Tamandua tetradactyla: one gene and its partner. The protein of the gene in region 2 interacts with the protein of the main gene of each other region in a pairwise test. Links are inferred from orthologs where the notes say so. Each region holds a gene or a part of one and is shown on either strand. Other genes may lie near its edges. The genes, in order: PRKRA and ADARB1.

What was found.
Region 1: the proteins of ADARB1 (region 2) and PRKRA interact in binary tests that used the Homo sapiens proteins (3 or more experiments, as listed by UniProt). The link is inferred for Tamandua tetradactyla from reciprocal best matches to the Homo sapiens genes ADARB1 and PRKRA.

The regions. Positions count from the first base shown.
Region 1 is NC_135329.1:150,949,391-150,957,589, forward strand, and holds the start of PRKRA (interferon-inducible double-stranded RNA-dependent protein kinase activator A), read right to left. Parts: upstream 3,803-8,199; 5' UTR 3,569-3,802; coding exon 3,504-3,568; intron 3,369-3,503; exon of another isoform or gene 3,177-3,368; intron 3,051-3,176; coding exon of another isoform or gene 2,986-3,050; exon of another isoform or gene 2,977-2,985; intron 2,956-2,976; coding exon 2,786-2,955; intron 1-2,785. Other genes in the region: PJVK (pejvakin), read left to right, coding at 2,986-3,050, 5,735-5,925, 6,633-6,828, 7,341-7,482. UniProt on the Homo sapiens protein: Activates EIF2AK2/PKR in the absence of double-stranded RNA (dsRNA), leading to phosphorylation of EIF2S1/EFI2-alpha and inhibition of translation and induction of apoptosis.
Region 2 is NC_135336.1:107,393,997-107,402,900, forward strand, and holds the start of ADARB1 (double-stranded RNA-specific editase 1), read left to right. Parts: upstream 1-5,082; 5' UTR 5,083-6,669; coding exon 6,670-6,804; intron 6,805-8,904. UniProt on the Homo sapiens protein: Catalyzes the hydrolytic deamination of adenosine to inosine in double-stranded RNA (dsRNA) referred to as A-to-I RNA editing.

The DNA of each region.
Region 1 (8,199 bases), on a different chromosome or scaffold from region 2:
AGCTGAGTTCTGGGATGCCAATTAATAGTTTCCTTTAAAGGAGCCATTTACAGCAGAATTGTCTGCCAGCCAAAATGTGTATGATTTTATTCTCACAGTCCATCCCATACTGGCTCAAATCTCTCTGCTAAGCCAAGCATTCATGACTACATGTTAGATATAGTGAAAGACGGGTTTATATATACAGAAAGTGTCATCTCATGTTACATGTCTGCCATACAGAATACAGATAGGGAAGTGGGGAGATAAGACTAACACCTAATTTCAGTAAGAAATCACTTCCAGTAAATGGTAAATTTAATCCTTTACCTTCTGGGTTTAAACTAGGTGTGGAGAATCTAGTGTGAAGTGGTGTCAGAATGCCGATGTCCATTCCTCCAATGTGGAAAGAAGAAAGGGGCATGGAAGAGGTTTTAAGCGTGACCCTTATATATCAGAGGACATACAAAGCATATTCATTTACCTACCAATATAGTATTAGGGAGACAGCAGTGAACAAAAGAGTCTCTTCCCTCACAGAGCATACAGTTTAGTGTGGGATTTCATCTGTCAATAGACATCTGAAACATGGAATGGTAAGGGTTAGGACCGACCTAAGCACATGTTGTAGCTGAGCACACAAGAGGGGAAGCTCCCCTACTTTTGGGAGGATTGAGAAAAAATTCATGGAGGAAGAGATAACCAAATGGAGACCTGAAAGATTAGTAAAAATCTGTAAGGTGAAGAGAGCTGGGGGGTTACGAAGAGCATTCTAGGTAGAAAAAAGGGCACAAAGGCTCAAAGCCAACACACACAGGGTGTTCTCAGGAGCCCCACCTGGTTGGCTAAAGTGTAAAAGCTTGTGGGAGGGAATTTTGAGATATAAGGCTGGAGAGTTGGGGAGCAGGGGAAGAGGTTAAAGAAGAGTCTCACAAATTTGGGTTTCTCAGATTTTAATATGCATAGGCAAGGGCTTGTAATTTTGCTAAAACACATATTCTAATCCAGTAGATCTGGGATGGGGCCTGATATTCTACATTTCCATCAAGCTCCCAGGTGATGGTTAATGCTACTATTACCATACCCGGAGAAGCAAGGCTGTAAGTCATGTTAAGAAATTTGTATTTATCCAGAGGGTGATGGGGAAACCAGTGAATAGATTTTAAGCAGAGGAACTACATCAGCAGACCTGGATGCTAGAAAGAACACTCTGGTTGTAGAGCGGAGAATGAACCGGACACCACAAGACTAGAAACTGAAAGGGTATCTATGATACTATAGCTATTATCCAGGTGAGAGATGACAGAGGCCTGGACAACAGTAATGGGAAGAGGAGAAAAGCAGACAGATCCAAGAGGTATTTAGGAGGCAGGATTTGGTGATAGTATAGACAAGAGAGGGGTGGGGAGGAGGAGTCAAAAAGAAACCCAAATTTCCCTTGTGTGAGCAACAGGTTGATAGCAGTACCTTTATTGAATAGAGAATGCAGGGGGACACATTTGAGGGAGTTGTGTTCACTTTGGGACAATGAATATTTGAGGTACCTTTGGGTTATCCAACAAAGATACCCAGCATAGCACAGGCTGGTACACCATGCTCTAATTGAGTCTGGGGGGAAAGGAGAGATTTCAGAATTACCAGTACTTAGTACTGAAGCTGTGGAGGCAGATGAGCTTGTAGAAGAGGAGAAGGTGGTATGAGAAGGGAAGAGGGCATAGGGCAGAATGGTTGCTGTGGGTTGTCAATCCCCATTCTAAAACACAGTGAGCAGGATAAAGGCTACTTCCACTTGAATTTTCACTGAATATTTTAAAATAGACCATGTGAAAAAGTAATGCAAGGTTCACGTGAGGAATCTTCCAGTCAACACCTACAATCCACCTGCCTCACAGAGACAAAAAAAGCTTCACTTTTTCTTAGAGTGGCTTCAATGAAAATAGCAGATTCCAGAATTCCAATGATACAAATGATGCCTTCAGATTACCAGAGGGCATCAATCTTCTTACTGAATTTTTTCTTGGCATTTTCCAAAATTACGTGTAGCATACAATATGTTTTGTGTTTGCAATTAAATATTGATATATGATAATTTTTTAAAAAGCCCACTTTACAGATGGACAACTTCAGTTATCATCTGCTCAAATTCCCAGAGCATTAAAAGACGTGAGTCTGAACTTTGTAACTTCTTTGCCGTGTGAGTCTGGACACATTATGTATAATCTCTCAACCTATTTCTTCATATATAAAAAGGGTATAATCATGTCATATAAAATATCAGTACAGTTTCAGGAATTAGAAGTTGCTGTACAATACAGCGTTGTGAAGCCTTCTGCCCTTCCTTTTGCTTACAGATAGAAATCAGATGTGGTACAATGGGCCCAAAGTGCCTAAAGAGTCAAGAAAAAATGGGGAGAGGCTCAGAAAATTCCGGGGTCATGTCTCCTGACATCTGCTGTAATCTTTCAGACTGCATATAATAACAGTGACAGTACCTACTAGTCCAGCTATGGCTATTTCAAGAAACTTCCCTACTTCTCCCCAGTCCCTAAAATTCAGGATATTTTAAGATATGAGAGGAACCTTGGATAAGTATTATCAGTTTCCAAGCTTCTCCTGATACCCAGGGAAGAGGAAACTAGGGAGATGAAGTTAAAATGTCCCAATATGCAGGGATGAGAAGTCTGTTTCAAAAATACATCATCCCCATAGCAGTTTCTAGGAAAACAGAGCGCCTTTTCGAACTGAAAAGCAATACCAAGACGTGATCACCAACCCACATGGTCATCGGGGTTAACTGTATACACACCTGTACAGGTTATGTCACCCACGGTTACTCTGAAGGTGAAAGTGGGCACGTGTATTTGCACATCGGATCTTTCGCATTCATAAACCGGGATGTTCTTGGTCTTCATGCCGTATTCGTGTAATACCTGGATTGGTGTTTTCCCTGGTTTAGCTGTGATCATCTTTCCTAAACTGCAAAAACCAGAAAAACGTGTGCTTTGAATGCCAATGAGGCGACGGAAGCAAAAGCATACAGAGGATAGTTTTGACCGCCACAGCGGTGACAGGTGAGACGCCGCAGCTGCTGCGGGTACCCGGCAGAGGCGGGCAGGCTGAGGGAGGTCTTTGGGGAGACAACCTGATTGGGGGTAAGAGGGGTTCTCTGGGGGACACAGCCGATGCCGGCGCCGCACCTGCTCAGGACCAAGCCCACAATCTCTTCCCAAAGAGCCTGCGATTTCTGACAATCGGTGGCCTCGCACCACCTTAGTCCATCCCAGGCGCCGCCAGGGAGAGGCGGGACCAGGGCCGAAAACCCCGGCCCAGGCGCCGCCAAGAGGGCGGGACCGAGGATCCGCGCACCGCCCGGCAGCCGGGCAGCCCGCCTGCAGCCGCGGGGGCGGCAACGCCAGGAAAGGGCTTTACCCACAATGCTGCTGGAGAGCCGGCTCCCTCGCCCCCGCCTCTCCTCCCCGATCCTCCCGCCCTGCCCGGCTCGGCCCGGCTGCCCGGACGCTGACCTGAAGGTCCCGCTGTCCTCGCGCTCCAGCGGCGGGGCCGCGGCGCGATGTCTGCTCTGGGACATGGCTAAAACAGACGGTTCGCCGTGGGAGGGAGAGCAGTGCGGAGCGACGTCCTCGCTTCTCGGGCCGGCGGATCCCGAGAGGAGGGCTTCAGCGCCACTGTCGCGGCCGCCTCCCCTCCTCCGACTCCCCCACCCCTCCCTGCTTGCGTCCCTGTTGCGATGGGGGCGGGCGAAGGGGCGGAGGAGGAGCCTCGGCACAGCGGTCCCGGCTCCCGGCCCCGCCCACGTCCCCGCCCACCGGCTCGCGGCTTTTCTCGGCTTCCGGCCCTGCCTCTCCCTTCCAGGCCCCGCCTCCTCCTCAACCGGGGCCTCTCTCGCCACTGCCCTTTCCCCTCTGCACTCCTCGGTCAGGCGCCGCTTACCCGGAGCCCGGCTCCGCTGGATTTAGCCCTGCCTGGGAGCTCGGGAGCTCGCAGTTCTTTGTCCTAAAAAGGAAGTAGTTTCCTGCCCGGAGGGAAAGCTTGTCAGGAGCCAGCCAGTGGTCAGGGAGGCCTGAAGCACACACTTTTTAAATTTTATTATAATTTTTTTTATTGCGTGATTGGGGGCTGGTCACTTGAAGAAAAATATTTCAAAATCCCGAATACAAAATTGGTGGTGCTGCAGCCCGGGACTGGGCCGGATGCTCGAGACTACAGGACGGCAGTGGGCGCTCCGGGCCCTGGAGCCCTGCTTTTAGGGGCACGCGGGATGTCTTGAGACCCCTTCTCTCCCGCCGGGCTGGCTCCATTGTCTCTTGGCTTTATTCACGACTCTGAGTTGTACCCTCCTGGACCGGCGGACCCAGCCAGCCATGTTAGGTGTAAACGCATGCTTTTCTGTAGACTCGATTCCAAATTAATCGCTGTTTCTGCAGAGCTGAGTTATTGGTCTAGTGGTGTTTTCCTCGGATACAACACCCTTGGTGGGGGTTAGACAACGACATTAGATGTCTCGTTTCCCTCGGGGTAGAAATTAACGGGCAGAAATTATTCCTGTGCTTACTCTGTGTCTTGGAAAAGGCTTTGCACAAAGCTCTTCTCGAGAAGGGACATTATTGAAATCAGCTCATTTTTTTAGATCCTGCGAGCCCTTGGACACTTGAAAGCAAATGAAAAAATGTCCAGAATCTAGCCAAATTTATTTCCGTTACTAGAGGCTCTAAGTAAGCCTATTCTCTTTCTCTTACCCCATTATGTATGTGTATCAATCAATCCACCAAAGTTATCATTTAGTAAATATCTTATAACCAACACATAGCCACTATTTCAGGATATATTAACGTCCACATGAGAACTATGGCAATACAGTATTTCAACACTCAGATTTGTTTCTAAAATTTATTTTTAGTGACAAAATTCCTTTAAAAACCCAAACCTCATGTAGCTCTCTTGAAGGTTGAGTGACTGGAATAATGAAGAAATAGAAAGAAAATAAATGCAGCAGGACCCCATTTCAAAGAGATGTAGTCTATGTGCCCCACTTCAGAGTCAAAAACCGTACATAATAAGTTTATGTAGTTATTTATATGTAACATGGTTTTAATTTAGTATTTTGAAAGAGTCACATACAATTGTTCCCCTGTTTTCTGTGAATTTATATTTAATATGAAATACCTCGTTTAAGCATTCAAGAAGGAAAATGAATGAAATGCTGAAACACTGAAGGGTATACTATAAGAATTCAAAGCAGTGCTTTTCTGTTGCCAGAACTGGCATGGTGGACCTAGGAATTCCCTTCTGACTATGTCTACTGTAAATGGTATCCAAGGCTAATGTTGGTACCTCTGCGTTATTTCCTTTAGGGCTATATGTTTCCCACAAAATTGGGATTCTGACTGCTACCTGGTCATGACCCTGATCAAGAACTTTGGTAATATTTAGGTAATATTAGTTTTCCATGTATATTGTAGTGCATTAGATTGGCATTACAAATTAGACTTGCTTTTAGTATATCATTTTACACCATCGATCTATAATTCATTACTTGAGCACACCAGGGGCAGCAGTGTTGTGAATTGTACGCTGGTAAACTACTTGGCGAAAACCATGTTTTACATTTTTGAAGTATATAATTATATTTAAAATCAAGCAAGGCTGATTCACTTTGAGACTATGGATTTGTTATCTGGGGGTTGCAGTGGATGACACTTTGATATCATATTAATATGTTTGCTGCTGCTACTAGGAGCTTTGTCAAACAAGTTGGAGATGGAGGGAGATTAGTTCCTGTTCCAAGCCTCAGTGAAGCTGACAAGTACCAACCGCTCAGTCTGGTGGTAAAAAAGAAGCGATGCTTTCTGTTTCCTAGATATAAATTTTCTTCAACGCCATTTACCCTGAAAGATATTCTCCTAGGAGACAGAGAAATTTCTGCTGGTAAGTTTAAATGTCTGCTTGGTAGTAACTATCAGCTGTATCCTTGGTAACCTAAATATAGGCATATATACTACCTATATCAGTAATACACATTGTCAGTGATAAAGCAACTTTTATTACAACAGTAGTAGTGTTAAAATTAACAATGCCTGGAATTTATATACTATCAAATCTCGAATGGTTGAATAACTTTCAAAACTATCGATTACTTTGTAAGTTGCTGTAACCAAATCATTATAGAATATGATATATTTCTTTATCTGTACAACGTATTACTTGGTCTACTTACCTCACATGGTCAAATGAGATACTGGAGATGTAAGTAACTTGCATTTACTTTTCACAATTTAGTTATTAGAACTGGTAAACTGAAAAAATATTTTACAGGCTAGATCAGAAAATAACTGGAAGTTGACATTTTGACAACTTATTTCTTATAAACGCTTGTGTTTTTCTTCAACCACCTAGCGGATCTTGATGCTTTAGAAGTTCTGTTGACTGAAAAGAGAATGCAGGTTCTTCTGAAGGAGTCTGGCTCTTTCTATGTCAAATTCATCAAATGGCTATTTTTAATCTTGGTTTGAAATGTTCCCTTTCTTGTTAACCTTTGGGTAATTGAGTCTTGAATTGTAAGTTAACCTTTTACTATCTATAATTTACAGTGAATGAATTCAAGACATTAATATACTAATTTCTTTTTCTTCAAGGTATTTCTTCTTATCAGTTACTGAATTATGAGGATGAATCAGATGTTTCACTTCATGGAAGACGAGGCAACCATATCGTGAATGATGTTGGGATTAATGTTACTGGATCAGATTCAGTTGCAGTAAAAGCTTCATTTGGTATAGTAACCAAACATGAAGTGGAAGTACCGACATTACTCAAGGAGATTTCTACACGGTAGGTTTAATAATTCTGAATATACTTGAATGTTTTCATTAAATATTTTAACCATATAAACTAAATAAAGCATTATAAAATATATAAAATACACATATTTTACTAGTATAATTTGTTTGAAACACACAAATTAGTAGTACCTCCAAACTTTGAATAAGGGGCAGTATCCAAAATAATTTGCTTACAGCATTTTTAATTGTTCCACAAAATCGCTTCAGCTCTTTCACATTTGGCTAAATTATTAGATTGAAAGAATATAGGAATCTGCCTGTCACCAATATACTAAGAGGTTCCCCTCCAGTGGACTCCTATAATAAATATGTTTTAAGAAGATAGAAAGAAAGGCAGATTATGAAATTTCTTTTGGGCATGCTTTCTGATTTAAGCCTGCCTTGCTTTACTTTTGGTTATGTTGGACCATGAGTGAGTAACACATGACAGCATAAAATGTACTTGATTCTACATAATTACATGTTACAGCTTCTTGTGAATATGTCTCTTCTTTATTTTAGAAAAATTAATTTTGACCACAGCTTAATACGTCAGTCACGGAGTTGCAGAAAGGCTGTATTATGTGTGGTCATGGAAAGCATTCGCACCACAAGGCAGTGCTCTCTCTCTGTGCATGCTGGAATTCGTGGGGAAGCAATGCGGGTAAACTACACTATTTAGGCCTCGCTAAGAAGTTGCAGTGGGGATTTAAATTAAAATACTCAATTTCTAAAGGCGCTTATACTGCATGTATTTTGTCAAATGCTGCAGTTGTATAGGATGTTGCATAGTAATGGTTTTGTGTCAGAATATGAAAAAAATTCAAGAAAACATGAAGTCTAAACATGTGTAACATAATGCAACCCAAACAGCTATCCTTGTGAAATAAGATGCATACTGGAGCCCTCCTTTTACTATTTAAATGTTGTTTTAAGAATAACCATTGAGTGTTTAAATCTTTGATTTTATTTTTAAGTAATGGAGTTTCTGCACTGACATTTTAAAAGATGAAATTGTATTTTTATATTAAAGTTATTTTTCTAAAATAATATTTCAATGGCCAAACAACTCTTGTTCAACGTTAAAACCTTTAACAAAAGCTTAGAAAATTATTTGTGTGTAACTTTCAGCCCATTTATATTGTTTACCATTGTCATCCAGTGACACTTAGTAATGATTTGATTGGTTTTTATTAAAACCAGCATTAGAAAGATAGAGTTCATTGATGATTTTTTCAAGTCTTTGCAAATTAAGGTTCTGTTCAGTACTTGTGTTCAACTGCCCAACAAATTGATTAATATTGGATCATTTCTTGGACACAAACAGAGTCATTTCATTGAAAATAATTTATTGATTGCTTTGGAAAGATGCTGAAGGCTA
Region 2 (8,904 bases):
CCAATCAGCATGATATCATCAATATAAGGGACCACTGTGATGTCTTGTGGGAGGGAGAAATGATCAAGGTCCCTGTTGACAAGATTATGACATAGGGCTGGAGAGTTGATACACCCCTGAGGTAGGACAGTGAAAGTATATTGCTGACTTTGCCAGCTGAAAGCAAACTGTTTCTGGTGGTCCTTACTAACAGCTATTGAGAAAAAAGCATTTGCCTGATCAATAGCTGCATACCAGGTACCAGGCGACATGTTGATTTGCTCAAGCAATGATATCCCATCTGGAACAGCAGCTGGAATTGGAGTTGTCACCTGGTTGAGCTTATGATAATCCACTGTCATCCTCCAAGACCCATTTGACACAGGCCAAATAGGAGAATTGAATGGGGATGTGGTGGGAATCACCACCCCTGCATCCTTCAAGTCCTTAAGAGTGGCAGTAATCTCTGCAATCCTTTCAGGAATCCAGCCTTGCTTCTTCTTTTTTTTTTTTTCTAATTTTTAAATTAATTTTAAATAAAAAAAATGACAACAAAGAAGCACAAACATTCATAATATATAATCATTCTGTTCTACATATATAATCAGTAATTCACAATATCATCACATAGTTGCATATTCATCAACGTGATCATTTCTTAGAACATTTGCACCAATTCAGAAAAAGACAATGGAAAAAGAAATAAAATGAAAACAGAAAAAAAAATTATACATACCATACCGCTTACCCTTCCCTTTCATTGATCACTAGCATTTCAAATTAAGTTTATTTTAACATTTGTTCCCCCTATTATTTATTTTTATTCCATATGTCTACTTGTTTGTTGACAAGGTAGATAAAAGGAGCATCAGACACAAGGTTTTCACAATCACACAGTCACATTGTGAAAGCTATATCATTATTCAATCATCATCAAGAAACATGGCTACTGGAACACAGCTCTACATTTTCAGGCAGTTCCCTCCAGCCTCTCTGTTATGCCTTAACTAAAAATGTGATAACTATTTAATGCCTAAGAATAACCTCCAGGATAACCTCTTGACTGTTTGAAATCTCTCAGCCCTCTACATGGGACATGACTCCCAGGAGTGTTATTTTTTGCTGGCGTCTAGGCATTTAATTACCTTAATTAGTCTATTCTGGAGATTGCTTTCACTTCTTTTATCTAGGGTTTTCCTGCTGGATGAATTTGTTCTCTATCTGTTGTTTGACATTCAGTTCAGCTTTTTCTGGACCTCTAGCTTAGGTTTTGTTTAACAGAGGAGAATTTTTCAGTTCTTGTTTTCTTGTTTCTTGCCCTGCTTGTGTGGTGCCTTCCCCACACACACACACTTAGGAGGGTCTACTTAGATATTATAGACCCCAGCCAGATTTTCCCAGACCAAACTGGCCTCCTATCAGGAGGTATGAGTCACCTGCATCGGTTTTCCTGAGGGTGAGACCCAGCAGGTTGAAAGACCTTCCTGTGAAGTCTCTGTGTTTTTCTTATCCTGCCCAATGTGAGGTGCTTGTCTGCCTGCAGGTCCCACCAGCATAAGATGATGCGGTACCTTTAACTTCAACAGACTCTCCCTGCTGGGGGCGTGGTGGAGACAGAGGAGAGGTTGTAGGCTGGTTTTAATGACTTCAAATTGCCAAGCCCTGGGGTCTGAGTTCCTTGAGGGAAGGATTCCACCTGGGTGGGGCTTTACCCCTCCCCTGGGGAAGGCACAGGCTCCAGACGAGCCCTCAAACGAGCTTGTTTCTGCCTATGCCTGGGGCAGTTGCAGCCTGAGAAGTCCTGCCAGTGTATCCAGAGGCAGTCAAGCCTTTGTAGAAACACAGCCACAAAACCTCTGTTTCCTTTTTTTTCCTTTTTCCATCAGCCCTGCCCCCTTGGCCAGGGCAAAAATGAGCGACCCCCGCTTTGACCAGGTTCACCTGAGCTGGGGGCCTATTTTTAGTAGTCAGAATTTGTGAATTAATTCCACAATTGGCATTTGGTAGTGCTCAGTCCCTGCTGCTGGTAAAGTTCCTTTCCTTTCCCCTCTGGGAAGCAGCCTGTGGGGGAGGGGCACTGGCCACCACGGCCTGGGAACACACGGTTCTAGGGGGGCTCGCAGCTGGTCCAGACTGGGATACGCTGTGTGTCCAGGCACTGATGTGGCCCTAGGAGCTGTTTTTTTTACTGTTTCTGGTTATTTAGTAGTTGTTCTGGAGGACAAACTAAAATGCGCACCTTGCTAAGCCGCCATCTTGGCCCAGAAGCTCCCAATATTGCTTCTGATTTCTATTTTCCTATAAAGGGCAGTTCTAGTGGCTTCCACTTGGCCTTTCCCACCATATTAGCCCTCACTCCATGACTTAGAGAGCCAATGTGGGGATTCTGCTAGTTACTTAGTATGTTTATTCCAGTTATGCATTCTGGAACTGGGGAAATAACTACTGAATGGGTCCAGGGGCCAACTGGACCCACGTGAGATGAACTCCATCGATCACCTGGCCTCCATAAGCCCCCACTCTGATGGGTGGACCAGAGTGACGTTTTGGGTCCCCTGGAATTAATGTCACTTCTTAATCAGTGTCTAATAATCCCCGAAATATCTGATCATTTCCTTTTCCCCAATGCACAGTTGCCCTGGTAAAAGGTCATCGGTCTCCTTGGGGAAGGCTTGGAGGAAGATTAACAGTATAAATTTGTGGCAGTGTAACAGGGTTCTCCCCCAAAGGGACCTGGCCTCCCCTTTTGTGCTGGCTTGAAATGATATATGGACCCTAGAAAAGCCATGTTTTAATCCTAATCCCATTTTGTAAAGGCAGCCATTTCTTCTAATCCCCATTCAGCATTGTATGTTTGAAACTGTAATTAGATCATCTCCCTGGACATGTGATATAATCAAGAATGGTTGTTAAGATGAATTAGGTGATGACATGTCTCCACCCATTTGGGTAGGTCTTGATTAGTTTCTGAAGTCCTATAAAAGAGGAAACATTTTGGAGAATGGGAGAGATTCAGAGAGAGCAGAGCAGAACGACATAGCCATGAGAAGCAGAGTCCACCAGCCAGCGACCTTTGGAGATGAAGAAGGAAAAGGCCTCCCAGGGAGCTTCATGAAACAGGAAGCCAGGAGAAGAAGCTAGCAGACTCTGCCATGTTCGCCATGTGCCCTTCCAGATGAGAGAGGAAGTGTGACTGTGTTTGCCATGTACCTTCTCACTCGAGAGAGAAACCCTGAACTTCATCAGCCTTGTTGAACCAAGGTATCTTTCCCTGGATGCTTTAGATTGGACATTTCTATAGACTTGTAATTGGGACATTTTCTCGGCCTTAGAACTGTAAACTAGCAACTTATTAAATTCCCCTTTTTAAAAGCCATCCTGTTTCTGATATATTGCATTCTGGCAGCTAGCAAACTAGAACACCATTTATCTGACAAAGGACTGATACATAGAATATGTAAAAAACTCAAAATTCAAAAGTATAAAAATAATCATGTTTGTTCAAGGGGCTCTGGGTCTGTAAACTGTTTCAAGTCTGGAAATTGATTAAGGGGCCGTGACTCTGTGTTTTTGTAATTCAGGTTAGACTTCTGTTCACTTGACCTAGAACTCTTTTGTTTATACAGCTTGAACAAGAATTTAGTAGACTGCCCTTCTATTGTATTTCTAGGTACCCCATGATTTACTAGCCAATGCCACAAATCGCTGTGAGTCATAATTTTAACTCCTGCTTTGAGTTTGTTGTCTATTATAATAACCACATCCACCCTGTCTTTGGCGATTAAGTGCTGCCACCTGGCTTCTGCCAACTCGGGATCCTGTCATCCCTATTGTGTTTAAGGATTCCAGCTCAGTGACAGCAGTTCCCACAGTAATATCTGACCTACAGAGAAGTGCAACCACAGAGCTCTTCAGTGAGGATGGCGTTAGTCTCACAAATTTATTTTTCGCTGTTCTGGTAAAAGGTTCATCCTCCGGACATTCCTGGGGTGTAAGAGCAGTGTTTGCATGATAAATCCACTCTAACATTCCAGTCTCTCTAAGCCTCTGGATCCCCTCATCTACATTGTACCAGGGCAGTTCTGGCTTTTCAACCTCAAGTAATGTTGGCCACCTTTTGATCCATGTTTCAACCAACCATCCAAACAAACTGTTAATACCTTTTCTAACCACTTGAGCTATAACATCGAATGCAGAATCTCTGCTTAGTGGGCCCATATCAATAAATTCAGCCTGATCCACCCTTATATTCCTCCCACCATTATCCCACACTCTTAAAATCCATTGCCACACATATTCCCCTGATTTCTGTCTATATAAATTGGAAAACTCACACAGTTCTTTGGGAGTATAATGTACCTCCTCATGTGTGATACTTTGTACCTCACCTTTAGGGGCCTGTTGGGACTTTAGTCTAGTTATAGGTCTGGAGGAAATGAGGGGTGGTGGGGGTGGGTCATGAAAAGAATTAGAAATATCTTCCAAGCCATTTGCTTCAGGGCCTTCATTTGCAGTTTCATCTGGTGAAACAGGATTAATCACTCTAGGGCTAATCCCTTCAGCAGGAGGTTGGGTGGCTGTTCTAGTTTGCTAGCTGCCAGAATGCAACACACCAGAGATGGATTGGCTTTTAAATAAAAGGGGATTTATTTTGTTAATTCTTCAGAGGAAAGGCAGCTAACTTTCCACTGAGTTTCTTTCTTACGTGGGAAGGCACAGGATGGTCTCTGCTGGCCTTCTCTCCAGGCCTCTGGGTTCCAACAGCTTTCCCCGGGGTGATTTCTTTCTGCATCTCCAAAGGCCTGGCCTGAGCTGCAAGGACTGAGATGAGGAATGCTGAGCTGCTTGGGCTGTGTGTTGAGCTCTCATTTAAGCACCAGCCAATTAAGTCAAACTTCATTCATTGCAGCAGACACGCCTCCTAGCCAACTGCAGATGTAATCAGCAACAGATGCGCTTCACATGCCATTGGCTCATGTCCACAGCAACAGAACTAGGTGCCTTCACCTGGCCAAGCTGACAACTGACTACCACAGTGGCCAACTCTTCAAGGCAGGCAGGAGGTGGGGTGGCTATGTCCTCAGGGCAGACTATTAGACTATTACAGGGTTATCTAGAGAAGACTTGGCATGACCGAGGGTTTCAACCTTGCCACCGACATCATTATCAGTTCATATGTCACCATCCTATTTTTCAGGGTCCCACTCCTTTCCAATCAGTGCCCTCAGTTTAACAGCAGGTACCATGCTAGATTGAGATTTCAGTTTATATTGTAAAGTTGCTACTCTAACAATAAGATTCTGAGTCTGATTTTTGGAGATCTCAAGTCTACAGCTACAGGAAATAAGATTTTCCTTCAGGACATTCATAGAAGTGTGTACAGCTGTCAGATGGCACATAAGCTTCTCATTTGAAGTCTTAAGCCCACCCCTTTCACTCATTAACGTACCCGGTATATCTAGCGACAACTCTATGCCTCTTATTTCCACAAAGCTCCGTAAAGCTGTCAAAAACATTATCCCCCAGAGCCTGGCTTCATGCAGGCAAAGCCTTAGAAGAATCAAATGGTGATGTTTTGACTATCTCTTTTGCCAACTCACTCCATGGACTGAATGTCATTCTGATTATGGGAATCAGAGGCCTTAGTGCCTCTGAGCCCAGTCAGAGTAGAAAACCAATCGTAAAAACCCCTTTTTAGGATTCTATTCCTTAAGACCCCACTCCTGTATCAAGTTGTATTAGTTAGGGTTCTCTAGAGAAACAGAATCAACAGAAAATATTCGTAAATATTTCGTAAAAGTATCTCACGTGACCATGGGAATGCAGAGTCCAAAATCCACAGGGCAGGTTGTGAAGCCGACAACTCCAATGGAGGGTCTGGACAAACTCCACAGGAGAGGCTCACCAGCCGAAGCAGGAAGAGAGCCTGTCTCTTATGAATCCTCCTTAAAAGGCTTCCAGTGATTAGATTGAGCATCCCTCATTGCAGAAGACACCCCCCTTGGCCGATTACAAATGGAATCAGCTGTGGATGCAACCAACGTGATCATGATTTAATTCTATGAAATGTCCTCATCTCAACAGACAGGCAGGCACTTGCCCAACCAGACAAACAGGTACCACCACCTTGGTCAAGCTGACACATGAGGCTGACCATGACATCACATTATGATGTTATCATGCCTGATAATTTTTTGTTGGCACTGGGAATTTGACCTTGTTGGGTGATGGGTAGATATGGAATTCTTAGAAATGGTCTTGAGCTTAGCTCTGGGGCAACACAGCCGAGTTGCCTTGAACAGGTTTGTCCTTTCAGGTTATGTTTTAACCCTCGGTTAGGACACAGGTGTGAGCTCTGTGAGGTGTGTGTATTCCCACGCCTTCATGCTCCTATGAGGTTATGAGAGAACAGGCACTGTCCCCGGCCCTGTGTGAGCCCCAGGGGCTGCCCATGTGTCTTTCCAGCTGCGGATCCCTTCCTCAAACCTTCGGCGTTCTAACTGGTGCTCAGCTGAGCACCTGAGGCCCTGTGACTTCTGGGTTCCCTCTCCTTTGGCCTCTGTGGCCTGCGAACCGCAGATGCTTCCTGTGCTCCTGTTTCCATCTCAACTCGTGCACGTTCCCAGCTTCAGTGGGCGTGGCCCCCCCAGTCGTGGCCCCCCAGCCTCTGTGAGGTGACACCCCCCAGCCATGGCCCCGAGCCTCTGCTCAGAGACCTTCCCTCCCTGGCTGTGGCCTGGGAATAGGACTCGTCTCCCTTTTCATCTTGGCACTCGCATCCTCAGCTGCCGAGTTCCCTGCCGGCTCTCTGCCTCGGGAGGGAAGGTGAGGTCAGGCTCTCGTGCCACCTGGTGGAGGTGTCAGCACACCTGCTCGGACTTCAGTCATTGTTCTGTAATTAATCTTTATCTTCAGATCTGAAATTCTAGTCCCCGTGCAGTGTAGGTGGAAACGTTAGAAGTAGCAGTCGTATCAAACTGAAGACTGAATTTGTTTTTGGACAGTGAGGGTGAGGATTTTGCAGGTCCTCTCACGCACAGAGGCCAAAGTGCCACAGCTCGGGGGCTCGAGTGGGGAAGGCAGGTCTCAAGGCACTGCCTTCTGTTCAATAAGTGAGAGCCCAACTGCCCTCCTTGGCTGCCTTTTCCCGCCAGGCTAAAGCTGCCTCTGGCCATGAGGACCGCAAGGGAAGGCTGCACCACGGACTGGCCGTCACCCTTCCCTGCACGGAGCTCTGCAGGGGCTGAACCCCTTGACTTCTGCACCCGGGTGCCTCGTCAGAAAAGGATGTGCCAGTCCTAAGTGGTTGCATCCAGTGCAGTGGAAGGAAGGAAAATTGCAAGCGTTTAAAATCAAGTCAAAATTGTTTTACTTGTCATGAGTCCTGGAAAGGGCCGAAACGTCTTCCCTGAAGGTGGTGGAGACTGCTGGAGCGTGCCTCGTGTGTTATTCCTGCAGTCAGCCGGGTTCCCGCTCCCATGGGCGTGTTGAGCGCTGCCTCTGCACTGGGCCGTGCTGGCGTGGGCCCCAGACGGCCATCACCAGCAAGTGGACATGGTTTTAGGTTTAACCATTTCGCTTCAATTTCACGCAGACCTGTTTTTTAGCTTTACCCATGAGAAAGCTGAGACCAAGGAAGAATAAGAGACGCCACAACCCTTGTGCAGAGATGCTGCAGCGTAGCTTGGAAAACCATGTTTCAGAAGCAAGCTAGTTTATGTCCAGCAGCCTCCTGCTGGCTGCGGAGCTCGGTCCCTGCAGCTCGGGCTCCCTCACCTGCCGAGGGGGAGTAAGAACAGCACCTGCCCCCCGGGGAGGATGCGGGTGGCGATAATCACGATAGTAGTAATTAATCATCCTTGGTTCGCACTAGGAGAGGCGCGGCGTGTCAGCTCAAGGCTCGGGGGTTGCTGTCTGCTCCCCGGTCTTCATGCCCATCCCACCTCCTTCAAGAAGCTGCTTTCACTCTTCCTCAGACGGGTTTTGCTGTTCCCGGAGTGATGTCTGCACCTGTCTTCGGCACCAGGCAGTTTAGCACGTGACTAACAGGTGTCTCTCCAGGCCAGTTGCGCCCGGAGCTCCAGGAAGCGCTGAACCTTGGGGCTTGCAGTGGCTGTTCAGAATCCACGTTAGTTTTTAGGTTTTTAAGGAAGGGCTGTGTTAAAGCGCCTGTGTCAGCTTTGGGGAATGCATTGGACCTGGAACAGCCCAAATAGTTTCTAAAAGAAGTAAAAGGCTGGAGGGCTTATCCTGCCTGATTTCAAAACTTAGAAAGCTACAGCGTTGGTGTAAGACGTGACACGTCAGTGCGTGGGACAGAACTGGGAGCAGAAATAGACGCCAGGCTGCGGCCAGTTGGCTGTCTTCAGCAGCGCCAACGTGGGAAGGGTCACTTTTTAAATAAATGGCACTGAAATAGTTGGGTGTTTGTATGTTAGAAAAATGACCTTGATCCTCACTTACTAAAGTGTGCAAAAATTAATTTGAAATGGACACAGACGTGAACATAAACATTTCCGGAAGAAATCACAGGTAAAAATTTTAGGCAAAAATGTTAAATGGGATACAAATAGCACAAAAAAAAAAAAAAAAAGAAAGAAAATAGTTCATTTAGATTTCATGAGATTTTACAACTTTTACTCATTTAAGTTCACGATTAAGAAAATGAAAAGGCAAGCCAAAGAGTGGGAAAACATATTTGCAAGATATCTAAGCAAGGAATATCTAGACTATAAAAAGAACTTTGGCAACTCAATAATTAAAAAATCCAATGGGCAAAAGATTTTTCCAAGATCTTCTGCAAGATCCCCACCTCCTAAAAATAAATTCCAAGAGGCGTGAGGATGTGTCAGCACGAGCCAGGAGGGGGTGTGTGACACACAGGGCACACACCGCCCCAGCTGGAGGCGAGCCACGGGTCCTCCC